3 linked regions of the Arabidopsis thaliana genome follow. The protein of the gene in region 1 interacts with the protein of each later gene in a pairwise test. Each region holds a gene or a part of one and is shown in the gene's direction. Other genes may lie near its edges.

What was found. Proteins that work in one complex are often made in the same cells at the same time.
Region 2: the proteins of CEV1 (region 1) and TIP1 interact in a two-hybrid assay, tested with the Arabidopsis thaliana proteins (one study listed by BioGRID).
Region 3: the proteins of CEV1 (region 1) and CSI1 interact in a two-hybrid assay, tested with the Arabidopsis thaliana proteins (one study listed by BioGRID).

What each region holds. Positions count from the first base shown.
Region 1 is NC_003076.8:1,529,604-1,537,101, reverse strand, and holds CEV1 (Cellulose synthase family protein), read left to right. Parts: upstream 1-1,543; 5' UTR 1,544-1,854; intron 1,855-1,964; 5' UTR 1,965-2,011; coding exon 2,012-2,035; intron 2,036-2,207; coding exon 2,208-2,403; intron 2,404-2,521; coding exon 2,522-2,727; intron 2,728-2,820; coding exon 2,821-2,923; intron 2,924-3,035; coding exon 3,036-3,213; intron 3,214-3,321; coding exon 3,322-3,588; intron 3,589-3,688; coding exon 3,689-4,034; intron 4,035-4,114; coding exon 4,115-4,252; intron 4,253-4,340; coding exon 4,341-4,466; intron 4,467-4,547; coding exon 4,548-4,760; intron 4,761-4,886; coding exon 4,887-5,148; intron 5,149-5,311; coding exon 5,312-5,514; intron 5,515-5,610; coding exon 5,611-5,961; intron 5,962-6,116; coding exon 6,117-6,701; 3' UTR 6,702-6,970; downstream 6,971-7,498. Other genes in the region: AT5G05180 (myosin heavy chain, striated protein), read right to left, coding at 1-9, 106-178; RUL1 (Leucine-rich repeat protein kinase family protein), read right to left, coding at 7,085-7,498. UniProt on the Arabidopsis thaliana protein: Catalytic subunit of cellulose synthase terminal complexes ('rosettes'), required for beta-1,4-glucan microfibril crystallization, a major mechanism of the cell wall formation. Involved in the primary cell wall formation, especially in roots.
Region 2 is NC_003076.8:6,874,578-6,882,041, forward strand, and holds TIP1 (Ankyrin repeat family protein with DHHC zinc finger domain-containing protein), read left to right. Parts: upstream 1-1,863; 5' UTR 1,864-2,194; coding exon 2,195-2,452; intron 2,453-2,556; coding exon 2,557-2,697; intron 2,698-2,818; coding exon 2,819-2,931; intron 2,932-3,426; coding exon 3,427-3,506; intron 3,507-3,607; coding exon 3,608-3,771; intron 3,772-4,075; coding exon 4,076-4,214; intron 4,215-4,312; coding exon 4,313-4,412; intron 4,413-4,777; coding exon 4,778-4,835; intron 4,836-4,958; coding exon 4,959-5,036; intron 5,037-5,144; coding exon 5,145-5,243; intron 5,244-5,595; coding exon 5,596-5,674; intron 5,675-5,769; coding exon 5,770-5,918; intron 5,919-6,120; coding exon 6,121-6,525; 3' UTR 6,526-6,929; downstream 6,930-7,464. Other genes in the region: BG5 (beta-1,3-glucanase 5), read left to right, coding at 210-1,274.
Region 3 is NC_003071.7:9,404,414-9,409,093, forward strand, and holds the start of CSI1 (binding protein), read left to right. Parts: upstream 1-1,645; 5' UTR 1,646-1,937; intron 1,938-2,274; 5' UTR 2,275-2,379; coding exon 2,380-2,445; intron 2,446-2,766; coding exon 2,767-2,840; intron 2,841-3,059; coding exon 3,060-4,680.

The sequences.
Region 1 (7,498 bases):
CATTGTGATCTGAAACTTGACAATTGATATGTCTAATAAGATTTCTACGTTTGAACGGAAACGCACACAACCAAAATAAGACATGAATGAATTATACGGTTATACCTGTTGAGATGTCCACAAAGGAATTCGAATTATGTGGCCACTCATCTGGGACCTCAACTGTTGTAAAATCCATTACACTTAAACAACAAAAAGCGAATCAACTTAAAAATGATCAAGCAAAAAAAAATCAAAGAAACGTAAACATAGAATGATGTAACAGAAAAACCCTAAAAATACAGAAGATATACGAGATATAAAAACTGGTAAGATTTTTATTTACTTTTTTTTTTTTTATACTCCTAAGATTTAGCTATAACTAAACGTATTTATATTTTTTGACCAAAAAAAAAAAAAACGTATTTATATTTATCTCTACAATAATTTCGATTAAAAATATCTAACAAAAAAAAAAGTTGTGATAATAATCAGTGGAAAACTATCATGAAGAGACAAGCTAATGTTCTTTAATTGAAATCTTAGAAAATAAAAAAACTAGGGTTGCGTAAATTTTAAGACTTTCTTATGTCACAGAACTGAACTTTTTTCACTACATGTAAACAGAAATTATAACTCATTTGCAACGGTGAAGAAACATAGACAAAGACCCTCCATAAATCTCAGAAAAACAGAGCAAGTAACTCAGATCATAAGATCTACAAAACACATCAACGGAACAAACAAATATCAAACCCTGAAATCTGATTCACATAGGACCAAATAAACATGAGATTTCACTGACCTTGAAAATTGATATGATCGAGGGAACAAAAGAGCAGATTTACAGGAAAAGTGAAGGAGAAACAAAGGAAGGTTTAAGTAGAGGATTGCTAGGGTACGAGAGTTACGAAGCAGAAGGTGGAAAGGTTTAAAGGGACGACAAAGAGGAGGGAAGATTTGTCGGATAGCGAAGAGAAAGTGGCGCTCTTTGGGATTCAAATGTTTGCCATTTTCTTCTTTTGTCTATCTGACAGTCTGTTCTTTGCTGCACTAGTGGCCACACATCTCCACATGCACCACCAGTTATCAAAGTTTGACCTATTAATTATTGGGTTCGGTTCGATTCAATTTTCTCTCGTAAATAACGTAAACCGAACATATACCAATTTTGTCTGCAAAGTCCAACAAACCCATTTTCTCGATTCTGTTGGGCTTGATGATACTAGAGTTGGACCTTTATTTTTTCAGCCCGCTGGTTTTAGCCTATTTTGATATACTAGTAAGTAAAGCATCACTATCAATATATTTTGATTTATTCATTGGACTAATCCGTTGATTAATTAATATTTTGAAGTTTTATTTTTGTCGGCAAATACTTTTTAAGTTTTATCTGTAAGAAAGTTAGTGACGATGAATATCCTTTACCCCACTACTTGTGATTTGTTGTGTTCTTCACACTTCTATTTTAGTTATATCACTATCAAATATCAATTACTATTTTGATTTAGTCACTAATTCGATGATAATATATTTCTAAGGATATTTTAAAGGTTTATCGGCCGTTTTTTCACTTTTTTTACAGCCACTGTAAAACTGTAACTAGAAAAAAATCGACTGTGGAAGTTGTCGGTGGTGGTGGTGGTTGTTGCTTGGTTGGATTATGATTTGTGACAAATATATTAATATTTTAAAAATCTGGAAGAGTGACGAGTAGAGGAGACAAATAGCTTGCTCTTTGCATCTTCTTAGCCATCCCAAGATTCTCCTCTTCGTCTTCCTTATAAACTATCTCTCTGTAGAGAAGAAAGCTTGGATCCAGATTGAGAGAGATTCAGAGAGTCACATCACCACACTCCATCTTCAGATCTCATGGTAAAGCTTTTAACTCTTCTTACACTCATGATCCATTCTCAGATTTGACTTCCTTTACTCGGATCTCCTCAGATCTAATCGTAGTTTCTGTTTTTGATAATTCCGATCAGATTTGAACTATTCCGACGTTTCGGTGTTGGAAGCAACTAAGTGACAAATGGAATCCGAAGGAGAAACCGCGGTATGCTTTTTTGACTCTTGCTTCATCATTATACTTACCTTTATCGAAATCAGGAATTATATGTACTGAAATTGATTGATTTGGGTGTTGAATTGTGTATTGGAGAGATCTGATTTCAAATTTTCTGTTGAGGTTTCTAATTTTGGCTTCATTGATTCGACTTGATTTGTAGGGAAAGCCGATGAAGAACATTGTTCCGCAGACTTGCCAGATCTGTAGTGACAATGTTGGCAAGACTGTTGATGGAGATCGTTTTGTGGCTTGTGATATTTGTTCATTCCCAGTTTGTCGGCCTTGCTACGAGTATGAGAGGAAAGATGGGAATCAATCTTGTCCTCAGTGCAAAACCAGATACAAGAGGCTCAAAGGTTCTCTTTTGATCCTTCTGAAGTATACTGTCTTCATTGTTCATCGATAGTTTATCAGTATGTTTTGAATTTTGGATCAGATTGGTATTTATAGCAATTTGCTAATTTCTGATTCTAGGTAGTCCTGCTATTCCTGGTGATAAAGACGAGGATGGCTTAGCTGATGAAGGTACTGTTGAGTTCAACTACCCTCAGAAGGAGAAAATTTCAGAGCGGATGCTTGGTTGGCATCTTACTCGTGGGAAGGGAGAGGAAATGGGGGAACCCCAGTATGATAAAGAGGTCTCTCACAATCATCTTCCTCGTCTCACGAGCAGACAAGATGTAAGGCATTGCTGTTCATTCTTCCCTCTTAAGCATTCGCATCCTCACGCAATTTAGTTTTGGAATCTGATTTTGTCATTTGCTTATTTACAGACTTCAGGAGAGTTTTCTGCTGCCTCACCTGAACGCCTCTCTGTATCTTCTACTATCGCTGGGGGAAAGCGCCTTCCCTATTCATCAGATGTCAATCAATCACGTAAATATCCTTTATTTCTAACTCTCTCGCCAACACATATATTTGTACCTAGGCTTCTCTTTTATGTCAAAACTCTAAACAATAAAATCTGTTGTTGTCATTCACGCTGCAGCAAATAGAAGGATTGTGGATCCTGTTGGACTCGGGAATGTAGCTTGGAAGGAGAGAGTTGATGGCTGGAAAATGAAGCAAGAGAAGAATACTGGTCCTGTCAGCACGCAGGCTGCTTCTGAAAGAGGTGGAGTAGATATTGATGCCAGCACAGATATCCTAGCAGATGAGGCTCTGCTGTGAGTTCTTGTTTTGTAATCTTGTTTGTTCTGTCGTGGTGTACCGAGCGTTTTTCCTATTAAGCAATGTCCTGATACTCATTTTCCAATTCTTTATTTATTGTACAGGAATGACGAAGCGAGGCAGCCTCTGTCAAGGAAAGTTTCAATTCCTTCATCACGGATCAATCCTTACAGAATGGTTATTATGCTGCGGCTTGTTATCCTTTGTCTCTTCTTGCATTACCGTATAACAAACCCAGTGCCAAATGCCTTTGCTCTATGGCTGGTCTCTGTGATATGTGAGATCTGGTTTGCCTTATCCTGGATTTTGGATCAGTTTCCCAAGTGGTTTCCTGTGAACCGTGAAACCTACCTCGACAGGCTTGCTTTAAGGTAAGTTCTATTTCCCCATTCTTCTGAAGCAATTACTCAAAGGATTGTTTGCCTATACTGTTTCCCATTTTAATTTGATCATGGTCAATTTTTGGGACAGATATGATCGTGAAGGTGAGCCATCACAGTTAGCTGCTGTTGACATTTTCGTGAGTACTGTTGACCCCTTGAAGGAGCCACCCCTTGTGACAGCCAACACAGTGCTCTCTATTCTGGCTGTTGACTACCCAGTTGACAAGGTGTCCTGTTATGTTTCTGATGATGGTGCTGCTATGTTATCATTTGAATCACTTGCAGAAACATCAGAGTTTGCTCGTAAATGGGTACCATTTTGCAAGAAATATAGCATAGAGCCTCGTGCACCAGAATGGTACTTTGCTGCGAAAATAGATTACTTGAAGGATAAAGTTCAGACATCATTTGTCAAAGATCGTAGAGCTATGAAGGTAAGTTTGTAGTTTTAGTCATCTAGTCACCCTCACTTTGATTTTAGTGTATGCTATATTGACCTTTTATTTTCTTTCAGAGGGAATATGAGGAATTTAAAATCCGAATCAATGCACTTGTTTCCAAAGCCCTAAAATGTCCTGAAGAAGGGTGGGTTATGCAAGATGGCACACCGTGGCCTGGAAATAATACAAGGGACCATCCAGGAATGATCCAGGTAAGAAATTGGTTTTAACTATGGAATCGAGAATGCTCTCTCTTTCTCTCTAGAAGTTCATTATTGAAGTACCATTTGCTGAATGCAGGTCTTCTTAGGGCAAAATGGTGGACTTGATGCAGAGGGCAATGAGCTCCCGCGTTTGGTATATGTTTCTCGAGAAAAGCGACCAGGATTCCAGCACCACAAAAAGGCTGGTGCTATGAATGCACTGGTAAGTTTCTGATCTTGGATTTTTGACTTCTTCATTCTGACCAATTTGTTAGTCTAATCTGGGTACTTTTCAAATGAATAGGTGAGAGTTTCAGCAGTTCTTACCAATGGACCTTTCATCTTGAATCTTGATTGTGATCATTACATAAATAACAGCAAAGCCTTAAGAGAAGCAATGTGCTTCCTGATGGACCCAAACCTCGGGAAGCAAGTTTGTTATGTTCAGTTCCCACAAAGATTTGATGGTATCGATAAGAACGATAGATATGCTAATCGTAATACCGTGTTCTTTGATGTAAGTCACACTTACCTATACTTGCGTCTAATTTTCTTGTTCTTTCAAATTGCTTTTAGACACGAATATACATTAAACTCACAGTTTCTTGAGTTTGTCGTAATTTTTCCATGATATGTTTTCCAGATTAACTTGAGAGGTTTAGATGGGATTCAAGGACCTGTATATGTCGGAACTGGATGTGTTTTCAACAGAACAGCATTATACGGTTATGAACCTCCAATAAAAGTAAAACACAAGAAGCCAAGTCTTTTATCTAAGCTCTGTGGTGGATCAAGAAAGAAGAATTCCAAAGCTAAGAAAGAGTCGGACAAAAAGAAATCAGGCAGGCATACTGACTCAACTGTTCCTGTATTCAACCTCGATGACATAGAAGAGGGAGTTGAAGGTACAACTGTTTTTATTTCTTCTTTGGTTTCCGTTATACCCATATGTTGCTGTTTGAAATATTGATCCAGGGGAGGGGATTATTTATAGTTGACAGTTGTCTAAATAGTTTCCATACTAGGTATCTCATCATGTCTTAACTATTTGGCATTTGTGAAACTTAGGTGCTGGTTTTGATGATGAAAAGGCGCTCTTAATGTCGCAAATGAGCCTGGAGAAGCGATTTGGACAGTCTGCTGTTTTTGTTGCTTCTACCCTAATGGAAAATGGTGGTGTTCCTCCTTCAGCAACTCCAGAAAACCTTCTCAAAGAGGCTATCCATGTCATTAGTTGTGGTTATGAGGATAAGTCAGATTGGGGAATGGAGGTATAATCTCATTTGAACTCCTACATGAATCTGCATTGTTCTGACATATCCACTTTGGCATTCACTTTGTTTATATTTTCCGCTGTCTTTCTTCAGATTGGATGGATCTATGGTTCTGTGACAGAAGATATTCTGACTGGGTTCAAAATGCATGCCCGTGGATGGCGATCCATTTACTGCATGCCTAAGCTTCCAGCTTTCAAGGGTTCTGCTCCTATCAATCTTTCAGATCGTCTGAACCAAGTGCTGAGGTGGGCTTTAGGTTCAGTTGAGATTCTCTTCAGTCGGCATTGTCCTATATGGTATGGTTACAATGGGAGGCTAAAATTTCTTGAGAGGTTTGCGTATGTGAACACCACCATCTACCCTATCACCTCCATTCCTCTTCTCATGTATTGTACATTGCCAGCCGTTTGTCTCTTCACCAACCAGTTTATTATTCCTCAGGTTTGACACCTCTCTCTGTCTATCTATCTCTATCTCTATCTCTATCTCTAGAACAAACCTTAATTACGTTCTGTTTAACTGAAACCATGTTGTGTTTGTCATCTATTTACGGTTCCAAATCCTGATCAGCTGGTTCTATTGTTCCTCTTTTGCAGATTAGTAACATTGCAAGTATATGGTTTCTGTCTCTCTTTCTCTCCATTTTCGCCACGGGTATACTAGAAATGAGGTGGAGTGGCGTAGGCATAGACGAATGGTGGAGAAACGAGCAGTTTTGGGTCATTGGTGGAGTATCCGCTCATTTATTCGCTGTGTTTCAAGGTATCCTCAAAGTCCTTGCCGGTATTGACACAAACTTCACAGTTACCTCAAAAGCTTCAGATGAAGACGGAGACTTTGCTGAGCTCTACTTGTTCAAATGGACAACACTTCTGATTCCGCCAACGACGCTGCTCATTGTAAACTTAGTGGGAGTTGTTGCAGGAGTCTCTTATGCTATCAACAGTGGATACCAATCATGGGGACCACTCTTTGGTAAGTTGTTCTTTGCCTTCTGGGTGATTGTTCACTTGTACCCTTTCCTCAAGGGTTTGATGGGTCGACAGAACCGGACTCCTACCATTGTTGTGGTCTGGTCTGTTCTCTTGGCTTCTATCTTCTCGTTGTTGTGGGTTAGGATTGATCCCTTCACTAGCCGAGTCACTGGCCCGGACATTCTGGAATGTGGAATCAACTGTTGAGAAGCGAGCAAATATTTACCTGTTTTGAGGGTTAAAAAAAACACAGAATTTAAATTATTTTTCATTGTTTTATTTGTTCACTTTTTTACTTTTGTTGTGTGTATCTGTCTGTTCGTTCTTCTGTCTTGGTGTCATAAATTTATGTGTAGAATATATCTTACTCTAGTTACTTTGGAAAGTTATAATTAAAGTGAAAGCGAATATTTTTTTGTTTCTGTAGTTAAAGCAGTGGTTATGATTTTTCAATTTTCATTAGTGAAAGCAGTTACGTTTGATCATAAGCACTAAACTACGATGCAAAGAGAAATTATTTTTAACTGGGATTCAAAAGTAATAAGATAGAAGTAGAATTGATCAAAGAAACTTTTGGTCGGAATGAGGAATCATTCAGAGACATTGGAAGTAGCCTCTGAGGATGTTCTGTTTTGCTGTAACTGCTGAGACTGATCCAATCTCCTCACATCTTCAATCATCCTCGCGACCTCTTCCATCTTTGGCCTCGATTCTGGATTCCTTGCAACACAGGCCAACGCTAGCTGAAGCATCTGAACCATCTCCTCTTCAATGTTCTGAAACTTCAAGAGCTCCACATCGAAAACCTCTGCAGTCCACTCTTCTCTCACAACAGACCGAACCCATCTCGGAAGATCAATGACGACACGCTCATCCTCGAGACCAGGCTGAGTTAAAGGTGTCTTCCCGGTTAGCATTTCGAGAATCACCACACCAAAGCTATAAACGTCTGATCTTTGACTGACTCTCCTCGTCTCAATAACTTCAGGAGCATTGTAGCCAAT
Region 2 (7,464 bases), 5.3 Mb from region 1:
CACCAAGAACCAAAATAAAAGAATTTTACTATTTTATTCATACCAATAAGACTGAAAATAGACTCAGATATGCATCTATATATGCAAACAAATATTTTGCAACAAAACATAATAACACAAATCAAGTTTGGTTCTCTTCTTCTTCTTCATAGAAGTACGATCTTAGGATATCTCTATATACACACATTTTGCAGAAAAAAAGTTTCATCATGCTCTATTTGCCTAAGAAACTCTTCTTGTTCTTCTTCTCGTGCATTGTGGTGATTGTCAACTACAACAATAGTGACTTCGTAAACGCAGCAAATAGCATTGGCTTCGTAAACGCAGCAAATAGCATTGGCTTGAACTACGGTCTCCTCGGAGATAACCTCCCATCTCCGTCAAAAGTTATAACCCTTTACAAGTCCATAGACATCACTAAAATCCGAATCTTCGACCCAAACACTGAGGTTCTTAACGCTTTACGTGGCCATCGTGATATTGCGGTCACAGTAGGAGTTAGGGACCAGGACTTGGCTGCTCTTTCAGCTAGCGAAGAAGCTGTTAAGGGCTGGTTTGCGACCAACATCGAGCCTTACTTATCCGACATCAACATCGCGTTCATTACTGTTGGTAACGAAGTCATCCCCGGACCAATCGGTCCTCAAGTGCTTCCAGTCATGCAGTCTCTCACCAACCTCGTCAAGTCAAGGAATCTTCCTATCTCGATAAGCACGGTGGTGGCTATGTGGAACCTCGAGCAATCATACCCACCTTCCGCAGGAATGTTCACGTCTCAAGCGCGTGAACAACTTGTCCCCGTGCTGAAACTATTATCCCAAACAAATTCGCCTATCCTCGTAAAAATCTACCCTTACTTCTCCTATGCGTCCGACCCATCTAGCATCCGTTTGGACTATGCCACCTTCAACACTGAGGCCATCGTGGTACAAGATGGATCACTGGGCTATTCAAACATGTTTGATGCAATCTTTGATGCGTTCGTGTGGGCAATGGAGAAGGAAGGCGTTAAAGATTTACCAATGGTGGTGTCCGAGACCGGATGGCCATCTGCCGGGAATGGAAACATTACCACGCCGGATATCGCGGGTACCTATAACAGAAATTTCGTGAAGCATATAGCAAGCGGAAAAGGTACACCTAAAAGGCCTAACAAAGGCATCGACGGGTTTTTGTTTGCAACTTTCAATGAAAATCAAAAGCCGGTCGGGACTGAACAAAACTTTGGGTTATACAATCCGAATGATATGAAGCCCATCTACAATCTATTCTAATATGTGTGAAAGTTGCTTAGACTTTCCCGATTCATCAATAATTATGTTACACTAGTTGTTAGTGAATTAAAGTAAAACTAACAGTGATATATACACATACTATAAGCAACTGAGATGATGAGATCTCGTCGCGGAACTTAGTTGACTTTTGTAAAATTATTATTATTTAAAAGCAATTTCTCTGGTTTAGTAAACGTACTATGTTTCTTCATATATTTTTTTTTCTTCTAAAATCATTCCATTATGTTTCTTCATCTATTAATACAAGAGTATGCATTTTCAAAATAATACTTTTTTTATATATATATGCAAACCAGTGTTTTTTTTATCAAAATAAGAAATCACTGTCCCAAAATGATTCAATAGTTCAAGGTTTTATAAAAGATTTCTTAACATTTATAATATAACTCTTTTTGTCAAGATATGAAAAATGAAAAAGTATCTCTTATGATTAAGACAGATGTTTTGATTCGTTCATATTCCATTGAACTATATATATATCACTCAACTAGCCAGGTATAATATTTCCCATTACATACAAAAAAAAATGATCATGAAATTAATCAATTTATAAATGTTGGTTTTTTTTTTTTTGGTTAACACTAAAACCAAAAAATAAAATAATGTTGGGTTTTGTTTGACAAAAAAAAGTTAATGAAATGAATGAACGATAAGAATTGAGAGCAAGTCTGTCTCTGACCCGTCTTAATCCGATTCTTAGTCAATTTTTTGAGTTCGTCAATCATATTCTTCTTCTTCTTCTTCCTCTGATTCCCCCAGAAAAAACCTAGCTCCTTCCCTCATTTCCCCCCAAATCTCACGACTTATTTATGCTCGGGGGAGACTAATCAAAGGTCAAAATCCATTAGGGAGGGAATCGAATCTCGATCGATCTCAATTTCTTCTGAGAAAAGAAAAAAATGTCATCGGAGATTGAGGTGGTGGAAGAAATCCAATCGAATCCCAAGGAGAATGGGGAATCGAGTTCTAAAGGGATTGAAGAAGAGAGCTTGAAGAACGATGTCTATACTGCTGCCGCTTATGGTGATTTGGAGAAGCTTCATAGATTGGTTGAGTGTGAGGGTTCCTCTGTTTCCGAGCCTGATGCTCTTGGCTACTATGCTCTTCAGTGGTCTGCCTTGAACAACCGCGTCGCCGTTGCCCAGTACCTTATCGAGGTTTTGTGTCATTTTACGAATTGTTTGTTGATTGCTAAATTAGATTTGAACTAGTGGTTTTCAAGTTTCTAAAACTGATCCTTCTCGATTTCTGGTTTTTCCAGCATGGTGGAGATGTAAACGCGACGGATCATACTGGACAGACTGCATTGCATTGGAGTGCTGTTCGTGGTGCGATACAAGTTGCAGAACTGTTATTACAAGAGGGTGCAAGAGTAGATGCAACGGATATGTATGGCTATCAGGTTCATATCTCTTCTTTAACTACGCGTCCATGTTCTCTGCTGACTTCTATCAAATTTCCCTTCTTTTCTTGTTTAGTTCTCAATGGGTGTATGTTAATACTTAATTTTGAACTGCTTGTAGGCAACACATGTTGCCGCACAGTATGGCCAGACTGCTTTTCTTTGTCACGTTGTCTCAAAGTGGAATGCTGATCCTGACGTGCCTGATAATGATGGAAGAAGCCCCTTGCATTGGTATGCTTGCTGCAAAGCTTGCCTTCGTGAAATTGTTACTTAGTAATTGGTTTTTGGCTTCTTTTTATTTTTTCTTACAATTGTTTAGCCTTGCACGCTTATTTGGAGACTGGATAATTGGTTTTATTTGTTCCCTTTTCTTATTATTCCTATAGATTTAATATCTCTTCGTTCAATTTTGTTCTAGTTGCCAAGTATACTGGGTGGATTAGAATTAATTTTTGTCAACTATTTGCCTATGATAGTTCTCGAGTTTTTGTTATGAAGATTTGTGAATACGTATTACTGTTTTCCATCTAGAGACTAAGGTTACATAGGTTATTTTCTCTCCCGTTTTTCTTACTGAGACTTCGTTACCGTTACATGGATTATTCTACTGCATGATTTTTAGCTTTCTTATGTTGACCTTTTGATTTTATCCTATTTTTACAGTATCTTTTCAGAAGACAGTTCTAATTTCGTCTTTATATTCTTCTCATAATTTGAGAAATTCAGGGCTGCATATAAAGGTTTTGCAGATTCCATTCGCCTACTTTTATTTCTAGATGCATATAGAGGACGACAAGACAAAGAAGGTGGTTACAAACATATTTTTTTTTTAAATCTTCTTTGTTTATTTTCTTAGATTAACTATACGTTTCTAACATCTTCTCCGTTATATTGATTCTGTTATCAGGTTGCACTCCTCTGCATTGGGCTGCCATCCGAGGTAATTTGGAGGCTTGCACTGTCTTGGTGCAGGCTGGAAAGAAAGAGGATTTGATGATTACTGACAAGACTGGGCTAACCCCTGCGCAACTTGCTGCTGAAAAGAATCACAGACAAGTTTCTTTTTTCCTTGTAGGTATCTGTTTTACTTGTTTGTTGTGTAGCAATATGTATTCATACTGTTTGATTTGATGCTTTCGTAGTGGCTGTACTGCTTGCAATAATTAGTAGTTGAATCATTTTATTGGCAGTTATGTGCATCTCATTTGACCTTTGCATACCTGGTGTAGTTAACTCTACTTATAGCTGTACTATGTTAGTTTTTCCAAGTCTGTAGATTTTCTTATCCATTCAAAATGAGCAGCATTATGCTTAAATTATTGAGAAAATTGTGTCGATATTTGTCTGAATCTGTCTTATAAACGCTACTGTGCAGGGTAATGCTCGAAGCCTGCTTGAAAAGCGTTGTGACGGAAGCAGTCCCCTCGGAAGATTGTCAAAGTTGGGACTCGCTCCAGTTCTTTGGATCATGATCCTGCTGCTTCTGCTCGTATATACGAATTCGGTTGTTTTGGGTAGTTACCTTGGCCTTCTCAATTCTCCTTTGTCTGCATCATATCAAGTAACTGTTCTATGCATGCCTATCATTTTATGAACCCTTTGACCATTGCAGCATCCAATCTGCCAAAGTTAACGACTGGGATTGGTGCGCTTGCATGGCTGGGATTCATTCTTGCAACTGCAGGATTATTTTTGTTCTACCGCTGTAGCAGGTATATGCTCACCCTGTCCTTCCTCGATTTCCATTTCGTATATCTTCTAAAAGTAGCCATGTCTGCTCTCTGTTGTTATCTGATTATTAGTATAGTGTATCTTTGGCTCTTCACTATGCATAAATTTCTTATATTTCACCTGACGGTTGCAGATTAAGATATTACATTATAGTATTCTAAGCCGATTCTCTTCATGGTTTCATTCATCACCTAGCGATAGCAGTTTGGGATTTTAAGGCCTTTACTTCGTTCCAGCTGTAGTTTCTATTGTGAACTCCTTATTTTTCCATGTAGTGTAAATACCTTTGTATCACAAGAAGCGGGTTTTCTTATTGTTTTATATTGTAATTTTATTTTTTCTGCAGGAAGGATCCAGGTTACATCAGAATGAATATCCATGATCCGCAAACCATGAAAGATGATGTTAGTAGCTTATTGATTCTCAAGTTTAACTTACATAATTGTCCATATTATATCCGGTTCGGTATGATTTTGAGTACTATTTTCTTGTTCAAGTGTCTGACTGGTTTTCTTACCCCTTTACAGGAACCACTCTTAAAAATAGAGCTAAACAATCCTGCTTTGCTTGCTGGGAATTGGACACAGCTCTGTGCAACATGCAAGGTACCTGCTCAAATTCCGTTTTATGTCTTTCTTCAATCTTAACACCATACTTAATCATCGATGCTACATATTTACTTGTTTTGGTCCACTGTGTTTCATTTTATTCAGATTATCAGACCTCTTCGAGCTAAGCACTGTTCCACCTGTGATCGTTGTGTAGAGCAATTTGATCACCATTGTCCTTGGGTATCAAATTGTGTTGGAAAAGTAAGTACAGTTCCTTTCCTATTTTAGTTTTTGACATAGAAGTTGGCAAAATAGGAGTAGACGGATCAGGCTTTTGTTTGATACTAACATTTCATATAAACTAAATCTGCCTTGCTCTTCATTGTCTCTTTTGGTGTGACCTAACTTACAGTTCTTTTCGAAAATGCTTAGTGGTATATTTGTGTTGCATATTTGGGTATACAGATCAACAGATATGCTTCTTGGTGTCATATCACCTCTTCTATTTATTTTGGTTGCTAGTGGTTTGATTTGTTAGTCTTGCAGCTCGAGCATGATACTAGTCTGTGATACTAATCTGTGGATTGTCCTTGTTTTCCAACCTATTTTGCAGAAAAACAAGTGGGAATTTTTTCTTTTTCTTCTACTTGAAGTTCTAGCGATGCTGATAACTGGTGGCGTCACTCTTGCAAGTATGTTTGTAGTGGAAAATGCCCTTTAATCATTATATGTAAATGTAGAGAAAACTTTCGGACAAAAATGTAAATGTTGTATTATCTACATGCAGGAGTCTTGAGTGACCCTTCAGCTCCATCTTCTTTTGGAGCATGGATGAGCCATGTCGCTAGTAATCATGTGGGTGCTTTATCCTTTCTGCTAGTGGAATTCTGCCTCTTCTTTTCTGTCGCCGTCTTAACAGTCATACAAGCGTCACAAGTGAGCCCTCATTCCTTTTTCCTTATCTGCACATCTTTGTTCCTCATACAAAGGCTGCTCTTTCGTACTTTGCTTCCCCGGATTACTCATCTCTAGAATAGCTCCAGAGCTAAAACTCACTAAGTAGACTAGATTATTCGATTTTCATGGCGTGGTGTTTTGCCTCATCCTGAAGATCCATTCTCCCTATTTTCCCTTACAGATATCAAGGAACATAACCACAAATGAAATGGCCAACGCCCTGCGGTACAGCTACCTAAGAGGTCCAGGTGGTCGGTTTAGGAATCCTTATGATCTCGGGTGCAGAAGAAACTGCTCGGACTTCTTAGTAAAAGGTTATAACGAAGATATTGAGTGTCATGAAGAAGACGCAACACAGAGACCAGAGGGTATTAGCATGATGCAGATGCAGCGGAATCCAAATCTTCAAAATGGCAATGGCCATGTTGCTATCGATGTTAACCCGACACATAATTCACAGTCAGCACATGTTCATTCTGCCAACTGCAGCCATAGCCATAATAGTAAGTCAAAGAGTGACAATGTTCCTTTGGGTTTGGGACTTGGTCTTAGCCGCAACCCAACCCGACCTGTTGTATCTCCATAATATGGCCCGTGTCCCAAATGTGCATTTGTGTTGTAAGAAACACGTTTTCTCTCCTCGAGTCATTGATTACATCATTATCCGTTTCATGTGAAGATAGTAATACTCCCTTGTTTTCAATTTTCTATGCAAAAATTAAATGTCATGTTTCTTATCAATTATTTTTAGAGTATATTTTCTTATTGGTTGAATTCAGTTTACTCAATGACACAGAGAATATAACAGAAATGGTTGTACATTATGTTTTCTGGCTGAGGTATGGAAGTTTGACTCCGTCAATACACTGATACGACTTGCTTATATGTAACAAAAACATCATTAAATTTTATATGTAACAACGAATTACAAGACAATGACTGACTCCGCACCAAAATCTTGCTAAGGGCCCAAAAATAGAAAATGAAAAAAAAAAGAAAAAAAAAACAATTTGTTGTTTGTGTATGAATGTTTCACGCCAAATGCAATCTGAGTCATAAACCAATGAATAAAGTCACAACTCACCCTGTGGCAGAAGAAGAATCTGCATGATATCTTTGCTTCACCCCTCACCAAAATCAATGGTATAAATGTTACACAAACAAAATAGAACATATATGTTTTTTTCTGTCTACAAAAATCTGAATTTGGTTGTACCACAACAAGACAAAAACCTGCAAAGAGAGATTTTGTGGTTAGCTGATGATTTCAAACCCAAGTGGTATCCAGAATGTGAACACTTATTGGTTCAGGTCAAAGAAGTAAAAGCATTGCCTATAACAGTCGCAATAAGTAAAATAAAAGTTAGGTAGTTATGACAGAGCATAGTCTGGACAATGAAATGAAATGGACTAAGTATAGTCTGGTCTGATTAAGTTTCTTTATCATCTTGAACATAAGGTTCAGCCCTAACACTGGCCAACAACATTTAGTTCCTCAGAAGTCAGACCTAACAATTTCGTGAGA
Region 3 (4,680 bases), on another chromosome or scaffold:
AAAGAAAAAATCAAATGTATGATAAGACCCTCATCAAACCATTATATTGAAGTAAATTATATATGTATGAAAATGAAATATCAAAGAGTTCTTTTACTCTCACTTATGACACGCTAAATTAAAACCACTAAAAACCATAATATTAATTTCACGGCTACAAGTTGATGCTTCCTCAAACTTACTACGTTCCAATGCCGGGCACTGATTAAATATGGACTTCACATCTTTTTTTTTTTTTTTAGATATTCATTTCCAAACGGTCTATTGACAGATGGGCTAAGAATTTCACGGGTTACAAAAAAGTGGTCCAAATCGGAACATAATAGAAACAAGATCAGTAAAACGACGGTTCACCGGCCGGAGACGCAGCCTTCACCTTCTATATCCGATGCAAATTTAACATATTTCGAACGAATCTATGAGATCTATATGAGAATTTTGCTTCTTGGGTTTTATACGGTTCGGGAAAGTGGATGTATCAAGTTGTGACAAGAAGCATCAAAGAATATGACTTTGTCCAGTCATTTTTATGGTATAGTGATGATCGTCAATGATCATAATTGGCTAGGAAGAAAGAGCACATGTGCATTCATATGATTATCATAATTGTGCATATCATATGCTTTTATGGGCATAGTTGTCGATAGAAACAAAACATGCGTCGAGGAAAAAACAAAAGAATAGTTAAAACTTAGAATCTTTGATTCTCATGAGCCATGAGGCCATGTGCTTTTTCTCTCCCACGTTATATGTTTTACCATCCTTATAATTTGCTCCCCCGACTTCTCTCACTTTCAGACGAAAAGAACTGCTGTCGCGATTTTTGAACAATTATGGAAAATAATTTAGATGTGAAGGAAGCCGTAAAAATAGTTATTATACTTTTTGTCCATATATATAGAATTCGTGATGATTATGTTGTGGATGACAATTGGTGGTAGATAGAAACCTTTACTATCGCCATTGTTATGGGCTAATTAATCAAGTTTGGTAACAAATCAACATAATAGGACCAATAACAACAACTACTGCAGATCTTACTATTATTCTTTTTATTAATTCATCAGTATATTTTATTATTTTTTCTTGATTGTTTATCCGATTGATCTTGTAAGAGATAACTTTTGATTATTACATAACTTACTTCAACATGTTAAATGACACAATAAAATAGACAATTTATTTTTGATATCCTTTTGAAAAATATTAAATAAATATTTGTAATGACTGTGTTGCACTAAAAAATCGAGATAACCCCATGAGTGATAATTTGGTAACATAATCTAAACTTAGAGACAATTAACTAATTAAGTTATTATCTGAGAAATAAATTAGACAATATTTTTATTCGTGTGTGTAATTTTTGTGGTATAATATTTTTTCTTATATTGTTTCAATTCTACGGATGTTTTGGATAAAAAGGTTAATCAAATTTATAAAATGTAAAATTTTGCTTGAACAAATGAACCAAAATGTTTACTAATTGGCTAATTGCTGGAAAAAAACAGTTATATAATTTTTGTTAACAAAAAAAATGTTTGATGTAAATAATTAATTCACAGCTAAAAGTCAATTTCCTCATTTATTTTTGATTAAAGAAAGTAATAAAAAACAATTAAGTATACCATTCGCTGTACAAGAGTCGTTTAGTTCTGTCGGCTCGACAACCGACTCAAGCCGGCTCGAGTCGCTAAGTGAATCCACTCGCTGTCTGTCGGTGGACAAAGCCGGCTCCAATCTGATCACTCTCTCTCACCAGCACACACACAGCTCTCTCTCTTCCCTCTCTCTCTCCCCCGCTTTATACTTTGTTGAGTCAAAATCACAGACGAAGAAGAAGAAGAAACCTCTCTCTCACTCCTCTCTCCTTTCTCTCGTCTTATTCGCTTCTCTTCTACGTAACAGATTGTTCATCTTCTTCTCCTTGTTGCATTGAGGTGAGTTCAATTTGATCTATCAATGTCTAAATGCATGCTTTTTGAATTATCGGATCTCTTGTGTTTGATTTCATTGATAGAGATCCAATTATGATCTAGATCTGAAGAATCCTGTTTTTTGAGTTCCTATTGGTTAAAAAGTTTCCTCATTTAGCTTTAGTTCGAATCTGGAATGTTAAACGATTCGGATCGAGATTTAGCAGTAGTAGAATTCAGTTAGGTAGAGTGATATTTTTATACTATTAGTCTTCAATTATAATATAATTGCATTGAGCTTTTCCTACTTCACTGTATCGTTTTCTATTGTAAAGATTGATCCTTTTTATATATTATGCAGGGGGTGTTGTTGATGTTCTGACGATCTGATTTGAGTAGATCTGGGTAGGGGGCAAGGTCTCTGGGTCTACTTTTGATTTGAGAATTTTTTAAGTGAAGTGAAGATATGACAAGTGCTCTTGGATGGAGATTTCCTTCCACTAATGGAAATGGCCTTGCCCCAAGTGACACGGTAATAATTACTTGATTCAGTATTAACATTCATCACACGGGTTTATGGAAAAGCTTGTTTAGTTGATATACTGCAATCTTTCTGAGTTGCAAAGTCAGATCTGGTGTATTAGCAGGATGATTAAGCTGATATGTCCCTTGCATTTTGAATCTGATTTGAAAAAAGTACTTGAGCTAAGTCCATTGTTAATTAATGGCTTTGTACCAGTCAGTTATATCTGATAGAGTGTCATGATAAAGGTTATAGTTTTTCCATTGCATAGGAGCGAAAAGGTCTTGTTGCTCTTTTAACTTATTTTCTGTTGTTTGGTCTTGATTGCAGGAGAGAAATGGGGATATGAAGATGCATGATTCAGAGCCCCCAACTCCACATTCAACCACAAAGATGAGTTTGAGGTAACGCATATATGTATTTGGTACTGCATGGGAGCTAATCATCGTGATAAAATTGAGGTTTTATCTGTATTTGTTGCACCACCATCTTGGTTTAACAATGCCTGTGGAAATTAATATTATCTGGATTGGTTTCCTATGTTATCCTTTCAAATGAGACATTTTAAGCAGAAAGGCACACCTATTAGCGAATTAGTATCTAACTTTCCCCATCCCCTGCAGAGACCGGACAACCAGCATGGAAGATCCAGATGGGACATTAGCAAGTGTTGCCCAATGCATTGAGCAGCTGCGCCAAGGTTCATCATCTGCACAAGAAAGAGAATATTGTCTGAAGCAGTTACTGGACCTTATAGAAATGCGTGAGAATGCATTCAGTGCTGTCGGATCACACTCCCAAGCTGTGCCAGTACTTGTCTCTCTTCTCCGATCGGGATCAGTTGGAGTGAAGATACAAGCTGCAACCGTCTTGGGTTCACTCTGCAAGGAGAACGAACTTAGAGTTAAGGTGTTACTTGGGGGATGCATTCCTCCATTGCTTGGTCTTCTCAAGTCCAGTTCAGTCGAAGGGCAGATCGCTGCAGCAAAGACAATCTATGCTGTTTCTGAAGGTGGGGTTAAAGACCATGTTGGATCAAAAATATTTTCCACTGAGGGAGTTGTACCGGTTCTGTGGGACCAATTGCGCAGTGGAAATAAAAAAGGAGAGGTTGATGGTTTGTTAACTGGTGCACTTAAGAACCTTTCTAGTACCACAGAGGGATTTTGGTCTGAGACAATTCGAGCTGGGGGAGTGGATGTACTTGTGAAGCTGCTCACAAGCGGGCAGTCAAGTACACTATCTAATGTCTGCTTCCTTCTTGCGTGTATGATGATGGAAGACGCCTCTGTTTGTTCCAGTGTATTGACTGCAGACATTACAAAACAGCTTCTCAAATTATTAGGATCGGGTAATGAAGCCCCAGTGAGGGCAGAGGCTGCTGCTGCTCTCAAGTCGCTTTCTGCTCAATCTAAGGAAGCAAAGCGGGAAATCGCTAATTCTAATGGTATTCCTGTTTTAATAAATGCAACAATAGCTCCATCTAAAGAATTCATGCAAGGTGAATATGCGCAAGCATTACAAGAAAATGCAATGTGTGCCCTTGCTAATATTTCCGGTGGTTTGTCATATGTCATATCAAGCCTTGGTCAGAGCCTTGAATCTTGCTCTTCGCCTGCTCAGACTGCCGACACCCTTGGGGCTTTAGCTTCAGCATTGATGATATATGATGGCAAGGCAGAAACTACAAGAGCATCAGATCCATTGGTCGTTGAACAGACTCTGCTGAAGCAGTTTAAGCCTCGTCTACCATTCTTGGTGCAAGAACGTACAATTGAAGCACTTGCAAGTTTGTATGGGAATTCCATACTCTCTGTCAAACTTTCCAACTCGGATGCAAAACGTTTGCTTGTTGGTCTAATAACGATGGCGGTGAATGAGGTTCAAGATGAGCTTGTAAAGGCTCTTCTGATGCTGTGTAACCATGAAGGTAGCCTGTGGCAAGCACTACAGGGCCGTGAAGGGATCCAATTGCTAATATCTCTTTTGGGTCTTTCATCCGAACAGCAGCAAGAATGTGCTGTTGCACTTCTTTGCCTTTTGTCTAACGAAAATGATGAAAGCAAGTGGGCCATCACTGCTGCTGGAGGTATACCTCCACTTGTTCAAATTCTAGAGACTGGGTCGGCCAAAGCCAGGGAAGACTCTGCAACTATCCTTAGGAACTTGTGCAATCATAGCGAAGATATACGTGCTTGTGTTGAAAGTGCGGATGCTGTCCCTGCTCTCTTATGGCTACTAAAG